Lepisosteus oculatus: one gene and its partner. The protein of the gene in region 1 interacts with the protein of each later gene in a pairwise test. Links are inferred from orthologs where the notes say so. Each region holds a gene or a part of one and is shown on either strand. Other genes may lie near its edges.

Region 1 (3,751 bases):
CTTCGGAACGTCCCTGCAGCGCGTTCGGCTGCTTACCCAGACTGGGAGGGAAGAGTGATTCTTTCTGGGGAAGAGAGGGGGGGGAAACACGATAACAGCAACGCACAAACATCCGGCCTCGCAAAGCAGGGACCCCACCTGTGACACCGGGGGTCTTAACCCAGCAAGCTTCGTGCTTCATTCACACCAACAGCTTAACAGCACAAGAAAGAACACCAGGACCAGAGAAGAGTTAGAGAGGGGGCTCATCTTACTCATTTGTTTGCTAGAAACTGATTGATAATGATCCATAAATCAATAACAATCAGTGGACTTCCTTCGACCTGTTTCTTGAAGGAACTGTCTGAACTGGGCTGTACAACATGACCAGGCAGTTTGCTCCACACCCCTACAACTCTAGGTGTAAGGAAGCGCCTCCCGTCCCAGAGCTCAACACAATGTCTTCTAAGCTTCTGCTTGGACCCTGGTTTCTCTATTGGCCTCGAAGTCGTCCTCTGGATTGGCATCTGAGCTAAAGAAAAGTGTTCATCTTTAAAAATGTCTTAATCGTACTTTTATGCTGAATAGTACCGTTTAAATCCTCCCCATTGCCCTTTTTAGCTCTTGATGTTCAAACGGTTCCCAAGAACGTCCTGGACTACGACCCACAAAGACTGCAGGTGGGGACCCCATTTCAAATGAGGTCTGAGCCTTCAACAAAGCAGTGTGGTGCAGTAGGGCTTGGGTTCAAGTCCCTGCCTACTTGAGCAGAACACATCCTCTCAGATTGTTCCAATAAGACATCCAGCTGCACCAACTGGTACAGCTGTAACAATTTAAGAAAAATGTCATATGAACCAATAAGGAGACACTCTAAACTCAGTTATTTAATGACCTTTCTTAAGTTATTTATGAAGTATTTGGACTCTTCCCTTCTTTTGTACGCAGATCAGAAAACCACCTTCTCCATCACAAAACTGCCCACTCAGAGCCCTGAAGCAGAGGAGCATGCCCTGTTTGTGTAGCCAGCTCCCGTTGGTCTTTCTCCTGGGAATGTTGTTTCTCTGCACGCTGACATTGATGCACACGAATTCATTTCAAAAGAGACGGTATTCGGATACTGTTGGAATACCGCTAAGCTGCCTCTGTAGTGCAGCACAGTTTCAAACGGCCGATTTTTGCAGTCAGTTGATTTGCCTGGAGGGGGGGCGGGGAGAGCAGTTGGAGCAAAAAGATTTTAAAAAATAAAAGTACAAGTTTCAAGTTGCATTTGGTGCGGAGCCCAGTTCTCGGGGTTTCATTGTGTCAAATATATTTTTATAGACCTGGGAACACGGCCACAGACAGAGCGCGACGCGGCTCCGTACCGCCATCTAGTGGTGATCGCCAACACGTTACTACTGGGTAGTACAGCTGTAGGATCCAACACCGGTTCTCAAGCATCGTAATTGCAATTCAAACATATACGACTTCTTTTACTGCACTTCAGACCCATCTCTGTGCTGTTTCCCCTCCCTGTGCCCCTTATGTCACAGTACAGCCATGTTTTCTTCACTGCATCCACTGAGGCCAGAAGCAGTCCACCTCATCACAAGGGGCTGACTGCCCGAGTCGTCAGGACAGTGTCCTGGGAGGGCCGATGTTGGAGATCCGGGAAGAAACCCCTAACAGCTGTTGAGGTGGCTCTGTGGCTGGAAGGTTGCCGGTTCAAATCCGGCAGCCAGCAGAGGAATCCTACTCCTTTGGGCCCCTGAGCAAGGCCCTTCACCCCAACTGCTCCAGGGGCGCCGTATAAATGGCTGACCCTGCGCTCTGACCCCCAGCTTCTCTCCCCGTCTGTGTGTCTCAAGGAGAGCAAGCTGGAGTATGTGAAAAGACAAATTCCTAATGCAAGAAATTGTAAAGGGCTAATAAAGTTATGTTATGATTTGAGCCAAGAGGCGCCTCGATGACCCGCCTTTAACGTGCTCACAAACACAATCTCCGCACACGGTTCTTCACCGGCCAGTGTGAAGAACTCACACTCACGGCCCAAGTTTCATTCCCGACACGTGGATTACTAGTTTCTTACGGAAACGAAAGAGAAAACTTTCACAAACGATTTTTCCGTTTCAAGCCGCAGGAACGACAACTACTGTAACCTGAAAGCTGGGCACCTCATTCTGGGGCAGAATTATTTGTCGGAGCACAGCTGGGCTCCTGCAGATAGCGGCAAACTTTAAACCCGCAGCCACCCTCGTCCGAACACCCCCAGGACGGACGAGCTAGCCGACGCCATGAGCCACTTTTACTCAAAGAAACACCTGCCTCTTTCTCATTTCTCCTACACAGCCCGACGCACATTTAAATAGTGTCGAATTTGCCTCCTGTTTTGTTTTGGGTCATGCGCAGGTGTTAATTTCCTTATTGTGGGTAATTGATACCATTGCTTTCTGAGCGCACAGAGCATCTGGCTTCAGTCAATACAAGCTTTTCAGAAGGGCTACTTCCAGATCCCGCATTGCAAAGGGGCGAGGGGGAAATCTCTCTCAAAGAGAGTCGAGCACGCAAAGGGAGACAAGTTCATGACGAACAGGCGATAACAAGCGACAGACAGAGAAAATACGGGCGACGTTTTACCTGAGAACCGGGCCGGCATCAATCCGCCGATTTCCTGGACTCGGTGACTTCTTGTCTGTTTGTTTCTTCATTTAAATCCCGATTAATCTTCGGGGAGACTTCAAGAAAACCGCCGCTGACCACTCGCGCGGGATGACGGGTACGCTACCCAAAGCGCACTGGCGACCGCTAACCTCGTTTTAAAACGATTTCGTTATCAAAGATAGCGTCTCATTTGTGTGCGTCCCTACTATCAATCTCGGAAATGTAAATGAAAGACAATAAAGATCCCTATCTACCGTCGGTGTTATACAAATAACCAGGGAACTGATGTGGCTTTTTGCTGCTCTGAAATTATTTTGCTTTGTGCACACTGCCCCCTTGTGGACCAATGTTCGATCACTTGCCGTCTGTGTTGTATGTGAAAGCGTTCTCAATAGTCAATTAAATGTGGTAGTCCTTAAAATGAGGACTTACTCTATATTGAGTGGTGTACCAACAAATATGAAATCAAAGTCTGTCAATTAATGTCACGTATCTGAATTGCACCAGCAAACATTAATTCAATGTCTATTAATTAGATATTAATGTCACATATGATCAAAAGGGCCACATGTCAGTGCTGGGTTGAGATCCTAAAAGCTACTACATTAAAATATAAAACATAAATTGACCTATATCATATATGCTCAGTAAAATATCAGTGCAAAAAAAGACACTTCTGTCTTTTTCCCTTGCATTTTCAAAGTTAATCCAACGGCTTGTTATAAGAAGCCCTAAGACTCAGATTTTAAGAAATACTTTAGGGGAAATTAATTAGACCCCCTTCTGCACAGCTAAACTCAAACTGCCCTTTTTTGTGTGTTTCTTACCAATCCAATTGTCTGATCCATGTATACACATTGTTCCACAACCTGAATTGATGCACACTTAAGTCAAATTTAAAATTACAATGACATCCGGCTGTTTTCGAATCACTTCTTCCAGTTGAGGGTCTTGGGAGCAGCCAGAGCCTGTCCAGATGAGCAGCAGGCACAGGGACGCCAGTCCATCACAGGACACACACACCCTGGACAGGACACCAGTCCATCACAGGACACACACACACCCAGAACAGGACACTAGTCCATCGCAGGACACACACACACACACACACACACACACACACACACAC
Region 2 (3,751 bases), on another chromosome or scaffold:
AATGACCACAGAGAGTCAGGACCCCGGTTTTACGTCTCATTCAGAGGACGGTGCCTTTTTACAGTATAGTCACTATACTGGGGCATTAGGACCCACACAGACCTCAGGCTGAGCGCCCCCTACTGGCCCCACTAACACCTCTTCCAGCAGCAGCCTTAGCTCTCCCAGGAGTCTCCCATCCAGGTACTGGCCAGACTCACACTGCTGAGCTCCAGTGGGGCTGCCAGCTGGGAGCTGCAGGGTGACATGGCTGTTGGCAGTCTTGGGGCACAGAGTTGGGGGTCGTCCTGTCGGTCTGCCGGATCCCCAATCTTCCCATTTGGAATTGCTCAGAAACAGCTGGCCGGTTTCACGCCCAGCCTGTGACAGTAAAGCAGCAGCCCGGACTCTCTCCCTCTAGAAGCAACAGAGGTACATTTGCACCCCGGATTTCTAGTGGAATGACCAAGCTCCTCTGTAACGACTGCAAGAAGTGACAGGAACGGGACCAGAAACTCTCCCCGGGCCCCTAGCGCCCTCACGTTTAAGAGCAGATCTTTCCCCAAGAACGAGAACACATCTTCCCAAAAACCCCAGAGGCACACACCTCGCCTGCTTAACAGTGGCAGCTGACTCACACTCAAAGCAGCAGGCAGGCCTGTGTTGAAATGCCTGCTGTTGGCATCCCTACAAGAGCCCCTGCAGCTGGTAAAACCTGGAGCGGAGCAGACCGCTGCGCAGCGGGAGGCTGATATGTGACCCTGATTAAGCCAAGGGACACTGTGGATCTACTGAAAGACATATGTACTGTGTGTGTTACTACACAAAAAGTTGAGAGACCCCATATGGACCCATGGGCAGATGTCCTATGCACAGCTACCCTGTAGAGATGAAGTCATCTAGAAAGAGACACCATCACACACCCGCATTAGATCCCGGTCAATTATTAAGCAAAAATCGACCCGAGAACGTTATAGCACGGCCACGATAGTACAACAACTATGTCGCTAGAGCCGTAAGGCGCCCCTAGAGGAGAATTAAACAGTAACAATAAAACAATAACAATAATAATAACAACAATAAAATAATAATAATAACAACCTTCGCTTGTACTCGTCCCTCTCTCGCTTCACTTTAGCCAGCACGTTGTACAGGGCACGGATCTCGGGTGTTATAGTATCGATTTGAACCCCGACTCCGTCCGGGTGGACCCAGGACACGCCTGGGCCGGTGACCCGGGTTTCCAGACCCGGGCCAACTTTGCGAGTGTGGTTGTAGGACCAGATTGTCCCGGGCAAGAACCGGGGCGGCGGGTTGGTGGTGGAGTTGACGCCGCAGCTAGTCCCTGTACTGGTGCCGGTGCTGGTGCTGGTGGTGGTGGTGGTAGTGGTGTTGGCGTTGGCCCCGTCGGCCGCAGAGGTCGACCTGGAGTTCGGATCGGGGTTCGAGTTCGAGTCCGGGTTCAGGTTCGTGGGCTCCAGGGTCAGCACCGTGGTCAGACTTGGGGTAAAGACGCTCGGGCCCCGGTAGACCGAGCTGTTGGAGTTGGGGAAGTTGAGCAAGCCGGGTCGGAACGAGATGGGCCCGACAAAGCCGGTCTGGACGCCTTGCTCCCTGGTCTCCGGTCTTCTCCCGTCTCCGTTTCCCAGGCCCCCTCCCCCGCCGCCGGCTTCCAGCGCCTGCTGCAGCTGCTTCTCCAAAATCTTATTCCGCCGCTCCAGTTCGTGCACTTTAGCCAGAAAGCAGCGGAAACGCAGGTTGAGCGTTTTCAGGACGCTGATGTTGGAGCCCAGGTCGTTCCGCAGGGCCATGGCCGGGGGAGGAGGCGGGGGCCGGTAGAGGGGGTTGTTGAGGTGGAAGTAAGCGAGCCCGGGCGGCAGGGAGCTCAAATCGAGCCCCGGGAGGGAGTCGGCCGCAAAGCCCTGGTGCTCGCTTAAGAGAAAGCCCGGCTCGCCTGCGCCATGAGCCGGGTCCGGCAGCAGACCCGAGGAGTCCTGCTGGGCCGCCTGCTGCTGTTGCTGAAGCTGTTGTTGCTGTTGCTGTAGCAGAAAGACGTTGGCACTTAATAAAGGATTCATTGTATGGGTCAGCTTGAAGCGCTCCAAATCGGGCATGAAAATTATAATTATTTTTAGTATGTATGCTTTTAAATCCGAATATTCAGAAGAGCAGGCAGACGCCGAGATGAAATCAGACACAATAAACTGCAAGCAAAGTCCGCTAACAGCTGGAATAAAAGCGTATTTTGTAACCAAGCCACACGACTAGTGCGCTAAAGCTGGCTGCTAACTATGCGAAGCCCAGCTAAACGTTATTCGCTAGACTGCTGTCTGTTTTGAAAAAAATGGCTGAATGCGGCTTTTTCACCATCGTATGTCTGCGAGTATAAGCAACCTCTTTCAAGCATCTCCCCCCCCGCGCTGCTTGGAAAAAGTCGAGCTGTTTTAAATAGCGCCTCCGCGACACAGCTCCCGAGCCCCAGTTCTGATGCCAGACCCGGAGGTCCTTCTGTGTGGAGTCTGCACGTCCCTACCATTGTAGAAAGGGTCCAAATGAGCAGTCATTCAAATAATTTCACCCTGAATGCACCTACTAATAAGGTCAATTTAAACTCTGTAGGTGTTCTCAGTTCCGAAACGTGTAGGAGGTTGACTTTTAACTATTGTATTTCATGAGTAACTTAAAATATCCGCCCTCCGAGCTGGATAAAAAAAAACTTGCGAAGGTTGTAACCAGGCGACGTGTTTGCTGGTTCAGTGAAGGCTTCGTTTCAGTCAGGAGCTCAGCTAACCCGTAGACCAAGATTGGGAAACCCTGGACTGATCCGTTATTGAAAACGGATGCATCCTTGTGGGTTTTTGCGTTTGGAACATTTTGCCTATATTGCTGCCACGATGTCCCGGGACAAAGAAACAGCCCTATTTTTCATCGCTCGTGTTATCTGATCAGTACGGTAGCATGCCATTGACGTCAGTGAGTCAACACAACTGGAATGCAGCCTGCGGCGCTCGGTCTTATTATTGTACAGTGCGTGTGCGTGGTTTTCTGAGGGGTGCGTGTTTGGGACACCAAGTGCCCAGGTTTTACTGTGCCGACTGATGAATGCGTAGTTTGTTTTTTGTAATCACTTGTGCGCGGCTGCAACAATCCCGAAGTCATTTTAGGTTAGTGCGAGATGAGGGGCTGGCCAGGGTCAATGAAAATGACCTCTTCGTGTCCAGCCGGCGTGCGGCTCTCTTCACTGCAGGAGAGTTCCGGAGAGCCGCCCCGAAGGACAGGGATGAATCTCACGCCCGTGCCGTTTTTAAAAGCCTCTCTGTTCAGAATCTCTGGGTATCCGAGAGTCCGAGTTGGGTTGGGGAAGAGCAGGGCACAGACAGATTAACTTTTAAGGACAGTACTGGGAGAACAGTACTCGTCTTTGGGCTCTTCTGGTTTATAGATTAATTTTTTTTGGAATCCCAAGCGTTTGTTGTCACTATAAGAAGAGGGGTCCTAAGACATTTTTTTTTTAAAGTCTAGCCAAAAAAAAGTCACTAGAAACATTCATACAGTCAAAGAAATGTTCTGTACCGACTAGGGAAAAGAACTGAATCTATTTGGTCTTTAGTCCTGGCCGAGTGGAGGCGTTGTGTACGTGAAGCAAAGTGATGGTACAGTGGTCAGCGTTGCTAACTTGCAGCCCTGGGTTCGAATCCAGAATTGGGGTGCTGTCTGTGTAGAGTTTGCATGTTCTCCCCATTTTCCTGTAGGTTTCCACAGGGAGCTCGGG

What was found. The genes of interacting proteins can lie anywhere in the genome.
Region 2: the proteins of lmna (region 1) and iffo1b interact in binary tests that used the Homo sapiens proteins (3 or more experiments, as listed by UniProt). The link is inferred for Lepisosteus oculatus from reciprocal best matches to the Homo sapiens genes LMNA and IFFO1.

Annotation. Positions count from the first base shown.
Region 1 is NC_090722.1:3,108,418-3,112,168, reverse strand, and holds the start of lmna (lamin), read right to left. Parts: upstream 2,736-3,751; 5' UTR 2,599-2,735; intron 1-2,598.
Region 2 is NC_090718.1:3,683,044-3,686,794, reverse strand, and holds the start of iffo1b (non-homologous end joining factor IFFO1), read right to left. Parts: upstream 2,383-3,751; 5' UTR 2,094-2,382; coding exon 1,081-2,093; intron 1-1,080. UniProt on the Homo sapiens protein: Nuclear matrix protein involved in the immobilization of broken DNA ends and the suppression of chromosome translocation during DNA double-strand breaks (DSBs).